4 linked regions of the Oryctolagus cuniculus genome follow. The protein of the gene in region 1 interacts with the protein of each later gene in a pairwise test. Links are inferred from orthologs where the notes say so. Each region holds a gene or a part of one and is shown in the gene's direction. Other genes may lie near its edges.

What was found.
Region 2: the proteins of ARRDC1 (region 1) and WWP1 interact in binary tests that used the Homo sapiens proteins (3 or more experiments, as listed by UniProt). The link is inferred for Oryctolagus cuniculus from reciprocal best matches to the Homo sapiens genes ARRDC1 and WWP1.
Region 3: the proteins of ARRDC1 (region 1) and WWP2 interact in binary tests that used the Homo sapiens proteins (3 or more experiments, as listed by UniProt). The link is inferred for Oryctolagus cuniculus from reciprocal best matches to the Homo sapiens genes ARRDC1 and WWP2.
Region 4: the proteins of ARRDC1 (region 1) and ITCH interact in binary tests that used the Homo sapiens proteins (3 or more experiments, as listed by UniProt). The link is inferred for Oryctolagus cuniculus from reciprocal best matches to the Homo sapiens genes ARRDC1 and ITCH.

The regions. Positions count from the first base shown.
Region 1 is NC_091432.1:237,733,793-237,738,443, forward strand, and holds the start of ARRDC1 (arrestin domain-containing protein 1), read left to right. Parts: upstream 1-1,624; 5' UTR 1,625-1,700; coding exon 1,701-1,818; intron 1,819-4,651. UniProt on the Homo sapiens protein: Functions as an adapter recruiting ubiquitin-protein ligases to their specific substrates. Through an ubiquitination-dependent mechanism plays for instance a role in the incorporation of SLC11A2 into extracellular vesicles.
Region 2 is NC_091437.1:111,703,378-111,707,233, forward strand, and holds part of WWP1 (NEDD4-like E3 ubiquitin-protein ligase WWP1), read left to right. Parts: intron 1-1,002; coding exon 1,003-1,333; intron 1,334-3,856. UniProt on the Homo sapiens protein: E3 ubiquitin-protein ligase which accepts ubiquitin from an E2 ubiquitin-conjugating enzyme in the form of a thioester and then directly transfers the ubiquitin to targeted substrates.
Region 3 is NC_091449.1:53,024,482-53,028,337, forward strand, and holds part of WWP2 (NEDD4-like E3 ubiquitin-protein ligase WWP2), read left to right. Parts: intron 1-1,881; coding exon 1,882-1,963; intron 1,964-2,491; coding exon 2,492-2,620; intron 2,621-2,996; coding exon 2,997-3,072; intron 3,073-3,306; coding exon 3,307-3,378; intron 3,379-3,521; coding exon 3,522-3,610; intron 3,611-3,856. UniProt on the Homo sapiens protein: E3 ubiquitin-protein ligase which accepts ubiquitin from an E2 ubiquitin-conjugating enzyme in the form of a thioester and then directly transfers the ubiquitin to targeted substrates.
Region 4 is NC_091442.1:23,653,076-23,656,931, reverse strand, and holds part of ITCH (E3 ubiquitin-protein ligase Itchy homolog), read left to right. Parts: intron 1-1,210; coding exon 1,211-1,368; intron 1,369-3,577; coding exon 3,578-3,773; intron 3,774-3,856. UniProt on the Homo sapiens protein: Acts as an Acts as an E3 ubiquitin-protein ligase which accepts ubiquitin from an E2 ubiquitin-conjugating enzyme in the form of a thioester and then directly transfers the ubiquitin to targeted substrates.

The DNA.
Region 1 (4,651 bases):
ATCTGAAGCCAGGAGCCAGGTGCTTCTCCTGGTCTCCCATGGGGTGCAGGGCCCAAGCACCTGGGCCATCCTCCACTGCACTCCCGGACCACAGCAGAGAGCTGGCCTGGAAGAGGGGCAACCGGGACAGAATCCAGCGCCCCGACCGGGACTAGAACCCGGTGTGCCGGCTCCACTAGGTGGAGGATTAGCCTAGTGAGCCGCGGCGCCGGGAGGCCCAAGTTCTTGCACCATCATCTGCTGTCTCCTGGGATGCATTAGCAGGAAGTGGAGTAGCTGGGACTTGATCCACGCGCTCCAGTAGGGGATGCGGGAGTCCCAAGTGGCAGCATAACCATTGTGCCCAATGCCCTTCCCTCCCACTCAGACGCTGGGCATTATGGGACTGCCCACTCAGGGGTCCCTGACCACAGTCTTGGCAGCAAATTGTCTCGAGCAGGTCACTTAGGCCCTCCCTCCTGGGACGTGAGAGACCTGAGGGTGCCAGGGGAGCCAGGGGTACCAGGGGTGCACCTCTTGCAGCAGTGTCCTGCTGGTCCCCAGAACTCCCTGGAGCCCTCCTGTCCCCAGCCCGAGGTCTCCACCTTTGGCTGGAGAGCACCTGATTAGATTTCTGTTTCACCTGCTGACCTTGGTGGTCACCGAGCCCCAACTCCTGTGACCATCTGCAAACCCCAGCAAGGCAGTCCCTGGTCCCTCGAGTCCCTGTGGACTGGGGCTAGTCTTCTGCAGCCGGGGTTAGGCCTCTGCTTGGAATGCCTGCATTCCGTATCTATCAGAGTGCTTGGGACCGGAGTCCCACCTCCACCTCCAATCCAGCTTCGGGCTAATGCGCCTGGGAAGCAGCAGCAGATGGCCCAGGCGCTTTGGCCCTGCCGCCCACAAGGGAGACCCAGATGCGGTCCAGACTCCTGGCTTCAGCCTGGCCCAGCCCGGGCAGCTGTAGGCATCTGGGGAGTGGACTGGATGGAAGTTGTCTCTGTCACTGCCTTTCAAGTAAACAAACAAATGCCGCTCCCTTCACCAAGGGTTCCGGCACTGAGACGTCTCTGGGGCCAGTACTCGCCGGCAGGTGCACCTCGGCACAGCGCGGACTGAGTGGAAAACAGCCTGGTGGGGAGCGAGCCGGAGACACTGACCTCGCTGGCCGCCCGAGGGGTCCCGGGCACTGCGGGACCGCGAAAGAGGCTTCGGGTCTGCGCTTGGGCCTCTCCACTAAGGGACCTGTAAGGGCATCTGGAGACGGAGACTTCGCTCCCGGCCTGCCCGCCCGCATCTCTGGCCCGGCCTCCGCCCAGACAGCCGCACCCCGGGACCCGGGGCGGTGCGGGGCCCCTCGTGACGTCCTTCCGTGTGGTGGAGCCGGGTGGGGGACCCCAGACAGGGCGGAGCCCGCCCACATCTGAGCGCCGGGGGTGGGTGTGGGGGAAGGCGTTCCCAGCCGAGGTCCCTTCCGGTGCAGAGAGCTGGGGAGGGGGCGCTCCCCGGCCCGGCCTACGGCCCCGCCCGGCCTGGCAGGTGAGCCGCCCCGGCCCCCCGGGGCAGCAGGGGGCGCCCGCGCCTCGGTCCCCGGGGGGCCGGGGCGGGGTGGGGGGTGCGGATGGGGGGAAGGGGCGGGCCGGGGGCGGGCCAGGGCCGGGGCCGGGCGGGTCTGCGGGCCCGGGCTGCGGGCGTCAGTGAGCGGCGCGCGGGGCCGCGGCATGGGGCGGGTGCAGCTCTTCGAGATCTGCCTGAGCCACGGCCGAGCCGTCTACGGCCCGGGGGAACCGCTGACCGGGACCGTGCGGGTGCGCCTGGCGGCGCCGCTGCCCTTCCGAGGTGGGCGCGGGCTCCCCGGGGAGGGCCGCACCTGCGGCGGGAGGGGGTCGGGCGGAGAGGCGGCGGGGTCCCGCGGGGCGCAGGGCCTGGGCTGCGGGGCGGGGCACCTGGACCCTCCAGCGGCCGGTAAGCCGAGGGGGGCTGTAGACCCAGCGCGGCGGGGCGGCCGAGTCCTTCCGCATCTGCCTCTTCCTGCCCTCGCCGCCTAGGGCGGGCCGAGCCCGCGGCGGGGGGCCTAGCGCCTGTCCACCCTGCTGAGGCCACGCTGACTGTGGACACACGGAGGCCTCCGACCTTTCCTGGCCAGGTGTCCAGGCTTCTCCGTGCGCGCACCTGCCGGGCGCTCATCTGAACCTGATTTGCGCCGGGCCCCTTTCCAGCCCCCGCCCCGGGCTCCTGGCCCGTGGGAAGGTGCAGGTCCCCCTGGGGACAGCTGCTTGCTCCCTGCCTAAGGCTTCCTGGCCATCTCTTGCCCTGCCCAGTGAGCACCTGGGAGCCGAGCCTGCGCCGGTGATGCAGACAGCAAGCGATCAGGTTGCTGCGCCGCCATGGCAGGCTCAGGCCGTCATCTGCCTGTGGAGGTGTGGCTGCCTGTGGTGGACAGGGCTGGCACAGAGGTGGGACTTGGTGTTTTGGACCTCCAGGGCATGTTGGGCAGGCCTGGGCCCTGGCCGGGTGTGTGGGTGGGACAGTGTCTCTCCACCTTGGCTTCAGTCCCCCTGGTCTGCTTGGCCAAGACCGCAACTCCTCTTTGGGGCGTGACCACCCCACCTCTGGTGCCTGTTGAAGGTGGAGAGCTGATGGCCCCTTTCAGGACCCCCGACCCCAGGCCCCAGCCTTGCTAGGCCTCTTGGTGATGACCCCTGTGTCCCCACTTGGGAGTTGGGGTGGTCGTAGGTGTGGCTATGACAGGGCACACGGCAGAGATGGGGTGCACTCCCCTGGGACCCAAGCAGGGGTGGGAGAGACCCAGGCCCCGTCCACATGGCCAGGGATGCCGCAGAGCTGGCTACCTGGCTCATCTGTTGTCACCTGAGCTGTGCCTGACTGGCCTCTGCCTGGCAGGTGGGAGTGGTGAAGCAGCCCCAGCGGGTGGTCCTGAGATGGCCCTGGTTCTGAGTGGGGGAGGCAGGGTGGGTTCATGGTCTGGGAGCAGGAGGGCCTTGGGGCAGGGGGTGCCGGTGGCTTGGGGTGTGAGTGTTGATGAATGCACACGGACTTTCTCCAGCCCTGCCTGGGACAGAGAGGAAGTACCTTGGTGCTTTTTTTCTCATTCAAGAGATTGTTGTTGGGCTCTGCTAGTAGCCAGTGAAGCGGCAAGCCTGCCCTGGGCTCCCTGTCTCTCACAGGTGCATGTCCCTGAGCAGTAGGGATGGTTGGTATCTAGCCACAGGGACACTGGCTGCCCTGAGTTATGGAGACAGCCTAGGTCCTCTCCAGCCCAGGGCTGGGGTCAGGCAGGGCTGCGCTGGCTGGGGCAACACTGAGGACAGCAGCCTCGGAGCTGTCATGGGCCCGACGCGCTCTCCCAGCACCAGCTCCGTCAATGCCCCAGGGCACCCTGGGAGGTGGGCACTGTCACTGCTGTCCTGGAACAGGTCTGAAGGTGGGACACAGAGGAGGCAGCCCCGGGGGCCACAGTATGCTCAGACAGGGCTGCCCCCACAGGGTGGGAGCTGCCAGGCGGGGCTGCCCCTGGCTTGTGGGAGCCGGCAGAGTGGCACCGGTGCCTGGCCTTAGGGACCTGGATGACGAATGTGGGAGGTGCGAGGGATAAGGCTGCTAGACAACAGGAAGCACTGGTGTGTGAGGAGAGTCCTAGAAGCACTGTGGGACACAACCCCCATCAGGGTTTTGTCTGGAGAAGCAGAGCAGCCCCAAGCCCCCAACAACCGATGCCTGTCGGTTGTGCACGGCATGGGCTGGGTCCACGGGCTTGGCTCTGCAGCCTGACACCTGTGCGGGCAGAACACAGCCGGGCGTGCGCTGGTGTGAGCACCAAGCCTGCCCCGGGAGCCAACACCTGACACGGTGACTCCCAAAAAGCAGCTCTGGTGGAGGAAGTTGAGGTCTTGGTGAAGTGACCACCAAAGTCGCTTGGTCACTTCTCTCCGGTCTGTGCCGCCATCACGGAGCAATCTGCGAGGTGGGAGAGCATGAGGGAGAGACCCCTGTTCTCTGCCCGGGGGCACCTCCCTCGCTCTCCTTTGGGCATAAGTACATCCTGTGACCCTGCCAGAGCCCATGGTTTGAGAAGGCAGAGCCTGGTTGTTGTTGGCCTGGACCAGTAAAAACTGGCTCTTGGGAATTCTGCCTGGCTCCCGGGTGCTGCTGAGGTGTGCTGTCGGTATGCCCTGTGCCCCCATGGTGACCCACCTGCTGAGGAGTGGGTGGGTCACCTGGGGTGGGCTCCCTTTGCACAGTGGCCAGGGGCTGCTTGCTCCAGTGGGTCCTCTGTAGGGTGTTGGGAGGGTCACAGAGCCTGGGCCCCTTGGGCCTGACTGAGGGTCTGCTGGCCAGGTGCTGGCTGCTTTTCTGGTCAGGTGCCCCTGGGCTCCCTTGACCAAATCCTGGGGCTGGGTGCAAGCGGGGTGGTGGGCTTTTTGACTGCTGTCAGCCGTGGTGTGTAAGGCTCTCGGCTGCCACACGGCCCCAGGGCCAGCGTTCGCCCACGCCATGGTGGCACAGGGAAGACCTCTTCAGGAGGCTGAATACCTGTCCGTATGGTGGGTCAGAACAGCAGTTGTCTGGGTTTTCTGATTTCTGGGGAGGTTGGACAGCTGTTCTGATTATCTGCTGCGATGGAACAGTCACCCCAAGTTCACAGACCACC
Region 2 (3,856 bases), on another chromosome or scaffold:
TTGAAAATTTACCTGGAGATTTCATTAGTCTATGTCTTCCTCTGCTATTTTCATTGGAACTTTGATGGTACTTTCCTTTTTTTTTTTTTTTTAAGATTTTTTTTATTTGAAAGGCAGAGCTAGAGACAGGCAGAGGCAGAGAGAGGTGGGTAGGTCTTCCATCTGCTGGTTTACTCCCCAGATGGCTGCAATGGTCAGAGCTGTGCCGATCTGAAGCCAGGAGCCAGGAGCTTCTTCCTGGAAGAAGCAGGAGCCCAAAGACTTGAGCCATCTTCTACTGCTTTCTCATGCCATAGCAGAGAACTGGATCAGAAGTAGGGCAGCCAGGACTCAAGCCGGCACCCATAAGGGATGCCAGCACTGCAGGCCGCAGCTTTACCCACTACCCCACAGCTCTGGCCCCTTGATGGTACTTTTCTAATAGGTTTTGTTCAATGATCTCTTCTTGCAATTTTATTTTTACTTACTTTCATAGTAACACATAGTTGAAGTCAATTAATCTCATTGAAATATGAAGTAAGAAAACTATATCACTAGGTCTTAGTGCTAAATTATTTCTTTAGAAAGTATAGAATGGATTCCTGAATCTTTTTATGGTTCTCTATAGTACTATCATAATTAAAGCCATCATATATTTTTCATTATTGGCAAAAGTGTTGGTACTAGCTTACCACTTGCATATGAGACAGAAGATTGTAAGGGATCATTTTACAGTTTTTATATAGTGCATGCAGGCTTTCTCTCAGAACTGATCATTTGGAGGGAAAGCACTTGTTATTGTAATGGTGGTTTCTCTTTCCTTAAGGTATAGTATGTAAACGTAAAATTTTATCATTTATATATTACATGTGAACAATGAAAATATAACCTTGATCTTATGTTTTCATTACCTGGTACGTACGTTGTTCAGTTTGGATTAGACTCTGAATAAATGTATTGATTGATTAGGAAATTGGTTGCCTTGCTATTACTTGACAGATTATCTTAACTTTCCCTTCTCAGTTAATGGAGAATCATCCTCATCTGCGCCAACTGACCATGCTTCTGCCATTGGCACTCCAGTAGTACCTGAAGAAACCACCTTGTCTTCAGACTGCACTAGCACTACTGTTGAAGACCCTCTCGTTCAAGAGATACCCACTTCCTCAGAAAACAATGAATGTATACCTTCTACCAGTGCACAGTTGGGATCTGAAGCTAGAAGCATACTAGATGCTGATCATTCTAATTCTGCAAGTAGTTCTGCTTTTGACAAATTAAGGCAGCCAGAGGGGTGTGCGGAATCTGTACGGCAACAGTCTGGAAATGCCAACACAGAAACTTTGCCATCAGGGTATGTTAAGGATGTTTTTGGTTGTTTGACTTGCCTTTATGTAGCAACTTTTTGACAATATATAACTATTGAATATGTATGTAAAATGTTTTCATTGTTGAGAAACTTGAAGTCTGGCTTTTAATTTGATTTGCAGTATTAGTTTATTAGCTACAAGGCACATACTTTTTGAAACTATGGATTGTTGCTCGTCTAGTTGAACTGTGACTAGTATGAAGGGGAAAAAACCTGATTTTGATTTGCAAGATTCTATCAGTTTGATTTTAGGTTTACTTTGGTAAGGGTGAGTGTGACATCTCATATAATAATGTCAATTTTCTAGCTTCCTTTATGGTCTACTCTCCAGACCTCACACTTGAGAATAAGTAGCTGTCATCTTCCTCAGTATTATAGTACTGAATCCTTGAGAAAGTCACATATCCTTGCCGACTAGGTCTATTAACAAACTTAATTTTTCTTTGCTGTCTGGTAATCTTATAGACTGTTCATGGGGCCGGTGCTGTGGCATAGCAGGTAAAGCCTGCAGTGCCAGCATCCCATATGGGCACAGGTTCGAGTCCTGGCTGCTCCACTTCCGAGGCAGCTCTCTGCTAAGTCCTGGGAAAGCAGTGGAGGATGGCCCAAGTCTTTGGGCCGCTGTTCCTGCATGGGAGACCCAGAGGAAGCTCCTGGCTCCTGGCTTTGGATCAGCACAGTTCCAGCCATTGAGGCCATCTGGGGAGTGAACCAGCAGAAGGAAGACCTCTCTCTCTCTTCTCTCTCTCTGTGTCTGTGTATGTGTGCGTGTGTAACTCTTTCAAATAAGTAAATAAATCTTTTTTTAAAAAGTTGATTGATTTTTTTTTTAAGATTTTTTTTTTTTATTTGAAAGAGTTACACAGAGAGGGAAGGAAAGGCAGAGAGAGAGGTCTTCCATCCACTGGTTCACTCCCCAGGTGGCCCCAACAGCTGGAATCAGGTGCTATAAAAAAAAGAATGCTAAAAGAACTGGAAAATCTTTTGAAATTTAATACAGTACAAAACTTGGCTGGTAGAAGCAAATAATTTGCTAGAAAGTAGAGCAAAATGATAAAATTATAAAGTAGAAGTGATGTAAAAAGCTGAGAGACCAGTTCTGAACATTTAATAAGAAAATTTCTAGGGGTTAGCATTGTGGTATAGTGGATAAAGCTGCTGCCTATGACTCTGGCATCCCATGTAGGCACTGGTTGATGTCCTGGGTGCTCTACTTCTGAGGGCAGCTCCATGGTAGTACACCTGGAAAACTCTAAATAGAGAATGACTGAAGTATTTGGACCCCTTGCCATCCATTGTGGGAGACCTGGAAAAAGTTCTTGGCTCCTGGTTCTGACTTCAGCCTGGCCCTACTCTGGCTGTTGCAGCCATTTGAGGAGTGAACAAGTGGATGAAGATTCTCTCTTTCTCTCTCTCTCTCTCTCTCTCTCTCTCTCTCTCTCTCTCATCTATCTTTCTGTCTCTTTTTGTGCTTCTTTTTCTGTAACTCTACTTTTCAAATAAATAAAATCTTTTTTAAAATAAAGGCAAAAAATTGTTCACAAACATAAGGAATTTTATTGAAAGGCTCACCAAAATTCTAGGTACTAAGTGAAAATAGACTTATTTTTAAGAAAATTTATTTTGAAAATATTAGTATATTCTGACCAAAGAAAAAGTCTTTAAAATTCTAGAGACTAAAAGAAAAAAGAAAGTAGGCTTCACTCTAATCAGACTGGCATCAGACTTGTCAGAATCAACAGTAGAAACTAGAATACAGTGGGCCAGTGCCTTCAATGCTGAGGGAAAATGTATCCAGCCTAAAGTTTACCTAGCCATGCTGTTGAATGTGTGCATAGAAAAAATACATTTTCATACATCCTGGATTTCCAAAAATTCACTTACCATGTCATCTTTCTTAGGAAGGGATTCCTGTTACTTCAAAAATAGACAGTCAAATGGAAGATGTGGGATCAAGAACACACAGGATTGCTAGGAGAGGCAAGAAAGGAATTGGAGCATGATGGGAAAGGCAAGTCCCAGACAGCGATAGGCTTCACACCCAGTCTAGACTGGACGATGATCAGAAGGCAGGTGTAGTTGGATGGACATCCTAAAGAGCTTGAGCATTTCAAAAGGACATTTTTATGATGGAAAAGTATTTCTGGTTAAGTTAATGACAGATATGTAAAAAAAATAAGCAGAGGGGTGAGAGACACAATTGCTCTAGCTCAGGGTTTTTAATTTTTTTTTTTTTAGAAGTCATGTCCCAAGACTCAATTGTCAGGAAGGTTTATATAGAGACAGCAACAACTATAAGGAAAGATACAACATGTGTATATTTGGAACAGCTGGAATGAGGGTGTTTTATTAGAGTATGTAAACGTGCAGGAACAAGACTTGCAGCTCCATCTTTCATAGTGAGAAGTCAGTGCAACATATTTGAAATTAAATAATCATGTTAATAAGAAAAAACAGGTAAGCTGGCACCGCGGCTCAATAGGCTAATCCTCCGCCTGTGGCGCCAGC
Region 3 (3,856 bases), on another chromosome or scaffold:
AAGTGCTCAAGGGACCTTCTTGTTCTTCCAGTGCAAAATATCAGCTCTTGAGGCTTCTACACGCTTCTGGACTTCTGTCTAGGGAATCCCTATGCACATAGTTGGCCTTGCCTGGCTTCTCGGGCCCACAAGAGCCCGTAGGTACCTTGGAGATTAGTAGTAAGTCAGATGTAAAAGGGTAAACACTTGGGATCGCTACCTAAACCAGCCATGGGGAAAGCGTGCCGGGTTAAACAAGAATCCGTTATGCCATTTGGTAGTCGGTGACCTAAAACTGGGGGACTGGAGTTTGTTTCTGATTCTGTAGAAGCAGGTAGTGTAGCCCGGTCAAGTGAGTTTATTTCGGTGCCAGTTCTGAACGATGGTCACCAAGTGAGAGCCACTAAAGAGTCTGGAAAACAACTCCCAGATGCTCAGAGGGAAAATATTTGAGATGAGAATAGGGAAGCCATAAGCCGAATCACTGCTGTTTGCCAGCGATCGGAAAAGACCCATAAGACTGTACTGGTGCACAGCCGGGAAACAGAACTCTTTGCCCAAAGGCCGGGGGCTTTCCTCTGTGTTGCTTCCCCAGGGCTGTGGGGGAGGCCGCCTCCCCAGGGATGGGAAAGGACGAGCAGGAAGGGCAGCGGGGCCAAAGGAGCCGGCACTGGTGGCGAGCATGCTGTCGGTCTGCCGGCGTTCCTCCGGCACTCAGCTCCTGGGACCCATGGTTGTCCCAGGCACTGCCGTGGGAGCTGGGATGCCTCAGGTTTAGATCCGTCTGCTGCTGCTCGCTCGTGGCTAAATCCGCCCCGGCCCGCCTGCTCCTGAAAGTGAGGTTGAGCTCGGCACTCTCTGGAGACTGCCCCAGCTCCCGCAGGCAGCTCTGTGGGCCAGGAGAGGTGTCATGGCAGCATTTGTGCAGTGCCAGGAAAACGGCCCAGGGCTTGGACAGCCGGGCCAGACCCCCGCTAGGCTCCACTCAGTCCTCAGCAGAGCGGCCCTAGGGCGTACAGTTCGGAGCAGGGGCTCCCGGGCGGGCAGGACCCTCTCGGGCAGCTTCCCCTGCAGGTCAGTTGCACGCCGCCTCGGCAGCTCTGCCGCAGCTCCCTGCACCTCCTGTGCTTCCTTGCCTGTTTTTATTTTTATGTTACTTGTTTTTCCAGCTTTATTAGAGTGTGATTGATAAATAGTGCTTGTGCTTGGGACATTCTAGTTGAGTAGGAGAGAGCAGATAAGGCAAAGAGGGATCAGCCCTTGGCTTGGCGCTGGGACCATTGCAGCCCGATTCTTGAGTGGGGGCTGCTGGTCCCCCGCGTGTGCCCCTTAGCTTCTGGGGAGGGAGGATTGTCCGACTTCTTCCCTCGCGTTTCACTGTGAAAGGGGCAGAACCATCCACATCCCTTGTTTTCAGGATGGAAACAGATTTGAAACCCAGGACTTTCCTGGAAAGGTGACCACCTTTGGGTCTGGGGCCTTGGCCCCTCGTTTTCTCTCCCACTTGCCTGGAGTGGATGGATTACCCGCCTGCGCCAGCCTCGGGGTGGGGCAGGGCCTGGGGCTGAGGGCGTCCCTGCTGCCACAGCTGGATGCAATTATGCCTGGATTCAGCCGGCTGCCCCCTCTGTGTCGCCACACCGCCCCCCTTCCTCTGACAAAGCAAACAACCAGAGAGGTGCGGGATTCTTCCCCTTGCAGTGTGTGTGTCCGTGCCCCTGCCCCAACCCCAACCAGGGAAGGACCATTCTGTGCTGTCTCCCAGTGGCCGGGTCCGCTTCTCCAGCAGGCTGGTGTCGGACAGGAAAGCAGACGCAGCACCCAGGAGCCGGGGCTGCGGGATGGCCCCAGCTCAAGCTGCTGGATTTTAATTGTTCCCTCTCTTTTCTTCTCCCATGGCAGAGAAGAGACAGGACAATGGCCGGGTGTATTACGTGAACCATAATACACGCACGACCCAGTGGGAAGACCCTCGGACCCAGGGGTAAGGGTTTTGGGAGTGAAGGGGGCTGGGCTGGGCCTGTGTGCAGCTCCAGCATTGGCCAAGTGGCCTTGGACCACTTTGTCCTGCAGGGCTCCTGCTGGGGACCTTTAGCCACACACATCTCCCCATCTAGTGTCAGCCTCTGAGAGCTTGGAAGTGGTCCCTGAAGTAGACCTTTCCGCTGGCGGTTGTCGCTGGTCTGTATGCCGCTGGTACTGGCTGCTGAGAACTTGATCACAAAGAGGTTGTGGGTACGTCCATCCAGCACTGCCAACGTGCAGGGCCTGGGCACTCAGCCACCGCCGTCCACCCGGGGCTGGATTTTTGGCCTTGGGATAGAAGATGGCTTCTTTACACCCATGACTTGGATCATGCCAAGTGCATATCCTAAATCCCCCTTGTACCCCCAAGGGCTGTGTAGCACTGGGTGAAAGCAGAGACAAAGCAGCACTTGGGAGACCCCGGCCTCCTGTGCACTGGGGCCCGGAATGCGGGGCCTGGCCTTCACCCCGTCCCTCCTGTTTGCAGGATGATCCAGGAGCCGGCACTGCCGCCGGGCTGGGAGATGAAGTATACCAGCGAGGGCGTGCGGTACTTCGTGGACCACAACACCCGCACCACCACCTTTAAGGATCCTCGGCCAGGGTTTGAGTCGGGGTAAGGATGTCAGGACGCCCAGCAGTGTCCCGTCAACGCGGGCTCCGGGAGGCCCACTGCTGGACGGAGTGGGGACCCCTAGACGTGCTCTGCTGCTTACTGCCCCCTAGCGGCCAGTGCTGATGGCAAGCTGAAGGCCGCGGGCAGCAAGGGCTCTCCCCGCCTTTGGCTGCCTGGTGTTTGTCAGAGCAGGACTCTGTCGTCGTTTCTGGATTCTGTTTTTTGGCTTTTCAGAGGCCTCACTGGCAGTCCCTTCTCTCCTATTCCTTACTCCTCGCCTTTAAGTTAACACGGCATCAGCTTTGCTGGGCTAATGGAGACAGGTCGCTCAGTTCCCGAGAGCTCACCTGGCTTCCGGAACACCTTTCCTTTCCAGGACGAAGCAAGGCTCCCCTGGTGCCTACGACCGAAGCTTCCGGTGGAAGTATCACCAGTTCCGCTTCCTCTGCCACGTGAGTTGTGCTCCCGGGACTCCCGCGGCAGGTGGGGGCATCGAGTCACTTCAGCCTCCTTCCCCAGCCCAGCGTGGGCACAGGACTGCGCGTGTGCCACCACAGCTGGTTGTCCCCACGGGGCCAGGCTCTCACGTGACAGCCTCGGGGCCGGGCCGCCTACCCTGGCAGGTGCGCACCAGGTAGGCCGGTCACCCGGAGGCCTCAGTGTGCGGCGTTCTCTTCTCTTCCCAGTCCAATGCCCTGCCCAGCCACGTGAAGATCAGCGTCTCCAGGCAGACCCTTTTTGAGGATTCTTTCCAGCAGGTTAGAGAATCAGCCCGGTGCCCAGGTTATGACCATGAGCCTGGGGGCCGTGTCTGTGGAGGGGGCGGGCCTGAGATCCCTCCTACCCCTTCCTGCCGTGGAAGGGTGAGTGGCAGGCGGGCCACGATGCTCTGTCTCCCCAGATCATGAACATGAAGCCCTACGACCTGCGCCGCCGGCTCTACATCATCATGCGTGGCGAGGAGGGCCTGGACTACGGAGGCATCGCCAGGTGAGCTCAGGCGTCGCCGCCGCCCCGGCTGCCAGCCCGCGGCTTCCCTCGTTCAGATTCATTGCCACGGTGGGTGTGGGGTGACAAACATCTAATCCCCAAGGCTGGTCCAGATGGGCGCTGGGTGAAGCTGGGTCCTGGAGTCCCTGCTGGGCCGGGTGTTAACACTTTGCATATCGGGTCCTGAGGAGGCTGGGGGGCTCAGGGCAGGGGCTCAGGGCAGGGGCTCTCTTAGGAACCAGTGTG
Region 4 (3,856 bases), on another chromosome or scaffold:
ACCGGATTCTGTACTGGTTGCCCCTCTTCCAGGCCAGCTCTCTGCTGTGGCCCAAGTGCTTGGGCCCTGCACCCCATGGGAGACCAGGAGAAGCACCTGGCTCCTGTCATCGGATCAGCGCGGTGCGCCGGCCGTGGCGGCCATTGGAGGGTGAACCAATGGCAAAGGAAGACCTTTCTCTGTCTCTCTCTCTCACTGTCCACTCTGCCTGTCAAAAAAAAAAAAAAAAGTTAGATTTATTTTGTTGAGGCTTATTCTGAAGGTGCAGGTTGAGAAGCCTTTGCTGAGGCGTCTCTAAACTGGCAGTGCATACTGTTTCTGATCCATGAGCAGATCCCTTTGGGAGAAGTGGTAACAGCAGTGGTAGCTCGTAGTCTGACATTCCTGTTACTGTCCTTCCATCCTTTCTCTCCAGTTGATATCATACCTTGGAAGGGATGACATCTGTTTAAAACAGTCTGTGGGGGCGGAAGCTTCTCCTTCTCATATCAGAATGCCTGGGTTTGAGTCCATGGGTTGAAGTCCCAGCTTTGTTCCTGATTCCAGCTTTGTGATGTATACCCTGGGAGGCAGCAGATGATTGCTTAAATAGTAGGGTTCCTGCCCCCAGCGTGCCCAAGTTGTGGGCACTTGGGGAGTAAACTACAGCATTGAAGATCTTTCTCTGTCTTTGTCTCTGTCTCTGCTTAATAAATAAATAAAAATTTTAGAAGATTTGTGGCACATCTACAGTTGACCACCAACTTTTTAAACACTTTGTATACCATTGAACTGGAGTGTTAAGAGGTGCACAATCCCTAAGAAATAAGTATATGTCTTTATTCTAGCCAGCCATGCCTCAAATGTGAAATAACATTAATAGCTAGTGGAAACCAAGGAAGCAATGATGGACTAGTTATCTGTTCTTAAAATAAAGTAGCACCCTTTGTAATACATTGGGATTTTGAGAACTCGACTTTGTTCCTCTTAAGACATTTTTTAGAATCTGAATCAGCACACCTAGTTGTTCTGAATGGTTCCAAGTGTTTCTGTACCCACAAATAACTCTTCTATGTCTGGTTGTATTAGACTTTACCCAGTGGAACTTTGTTTCATGAGACTGTTCTGAAATTAGGAATGTTTTCTCACACTTGTAAAACTTTCAGTTTTGCTCTTCCTGCTGACTATTTTCTTAAATTCAAAAGGCATTTATTTTCTCCTTCTTATCCAGAGTGAATACAAATGGATCAGATGACCCTGAGGATACAGGGTCCAGTGAAAATAGGAGGGTCAGTGGGAATAATTCTCCATCACTCTCAAATGGCGGTTTTAAGCCTTCTAGGCCACCAAGACCTTCCCGACCACCTCCACCCACCCCACGTAGACCAGGTTTGTATTCCAGCTTTCAGTATATGTTGTATATAATGTTCTATTTGGGAATTGATTCCCAGATACATTTCAGAAGTTCTTTCTAGGTCAGTTTTCTAGCTGTATTTTTACATTTTAAGATTTTGTCCGTGAATGATCTTTTCTGTAGGTAACCAAGAACAACCTTTTCCCTAAATTTTTCTTCCCAGAGTGAAGTTGCTGAGGAAGAAAAATCACGTGTACGTTCTATAAAGTATAGACTGTATAGATAAGAATGTAATTTTTTTTGCATGGTTGTAAATATGTAACGTAAGCATGACATACAGCAGAGAATTTGGTTCCTTATTCCCATTAATATCCTTTTAAAAGACAATCATGGCCGGCGCCGCGGCTCACTAGGCTAATCCTCCGCCTTGTGGCGCCGGCACCCCGGGTTCTAGTCCCGAACGGGGTGCCGGATTCTGTCCCGGTTGCCCCTCTTCCAGGCCAGCTCTCTGCTCTGGCCAGGGAGTGCAGTAGAGGATGGCCCAAGTGCTTGGGCCCTGCACCCCATGGGAGACCAGGATAAGTACCTGGCTCCTGCCATCAGATCAGCGCAGTGCGCCGGCTGCAGTGCGCTGGCTGCGGCGGCCATTGGAGGGTGAACCAGTGGCAAAGGAAGACCTTTCTCTCTGTCTCTCTCTCTCACTGTCCACTCTGCCTATCAAAAAAAAAAAAAAAAAAAAACAATCATTACATGGCAGATAATTCAGCAGTGTTAAATGATAATCAGATTTTAAAGCAAAACTTATACAGTAAGTATGTTTCATGTAATAACAGTTTAGACACTTACATATAGAATATCCATTTTTCTCATTAACCCAAATATTTAATCTTATTATTTCCCTTACCAATGCATGACCAGAAAAATGCAGAGTAATTAAATGAAATATTGTTACAAAAGTTAATTGCCCTCAAATCATTTTATTAAATGATTTAATGGTTAATCATATGCCTTCTCCTTATGTAGATAATTGTATTAACTGTGTATTCCTGCTCTTTAAGATTTGGAATACTGATGACTTCCTTTAGAAATTGTTTTGTCAGCAAACACATTGAAAGACATTGCGCCAGCACCTCGGCTCAATAGGCCAATCCTCCGCCAAGCGGCGCCGGCACACCGGGTTCTAGTCCCTGTCAGGGCGCCGGATTCTGTCCCGGTTGCCCCTCTTCCAGGCCAGCTCTCTGCTGTGGCCAGGGAGTGCAGTGGAGGATGGCCCAAGTGCTTGGGCCCTGCACCCCATGGGAGACCAGGAGAAGCACCTGGCTCCTGCCTTCGGATCAGTGCGGTGCGCCAGCCGCGGTGGCCATTGGAGGGTGAACCAACAGCAAAGGAAGACCTTTGTCTCTGTCTCTCTCACTGTCCACTCTGCCTGTAAAAAAAATAAAAAAAAGTTAAAAAAAAAAAGACATTGCAAATATAGCAAGTGCTTAATAATTATTTATATTAACATTATTGCATATCAGTCAGATCTTTCATATAGTAACATCAAAAATTAGTCTCTGATCTGCAGAATTTCATACGAAAGGTATTTTTAAGGACATAGAAAATTACAAGTAAACTTAAAATACCATGGAATATGGTATTTTAATTTTAATATTTTTCCATTACTAAAAGTTTTTATTTCTTGTGACATCAAGACACCAGAGAATCTGTGCTTTGTAATTAATAATGAAGCACAGGGTAAATGGTACCTAAGATATTGAGAACAAATCTATTAAGTGGAAACTTTTTCACTTCCCTACTTTTTTTTTTTTTTTTTTTTTTTGACAGGCATAGTGGACAGTGAGAGAGAGAGACAGAAATGTCTTCCTTTGCCGTTGGTTCCCCCTCCAATGGCCGCCGCAGCCAGCGCGCTGCAGCCGGCGCATCATGCTGATCTGATGGCAGGAACCAGGTACTTATCCTGGTCTCCCATGGGGTGCAGGGCCCAAGCACTTGGGCCATCCTCCACTGCACTCCCTGGCCACAGCAGAGAGCTGGCCTGGAAGAGGGGCAACCGGAAAAGAATCCGGCGCCCCGTCCGGGACTAGAACCTGGTGTGCCGGCGCCGCAAGGTGGAGGATTAGGCTAGTGAGCTGTGGCGCCGGCCCTTCCCTACCTTTTTATTGTTTTGAAGATAAAATTCTATAATTAATTTAGATTTTGGAAAATAAAAGAGTGTTCCTACTTTCCCCAAATCTTGTATAGCATCTGTCAATGGTTCTCCACCTGCTACTTCTGAAAGTGATGGATCAAGTACAAGCTCTCTGCCACCCACAAATACAAATATAAATACAAGTACATCTGAAGGAGCAACATCTGGATTAATAATTCCTCTTACCATATCTGGAGGCTCAGGCCCTAGGCCATTAAATACTGTAACTCAAGCTCCCCTACCACCTGGGTAAGTAACATTTTTTTGGTGAATATTTGTTTTGTTCAGGTTTCTACATGTAGTCATTAATAAGGAAAACAATATTAAAATAA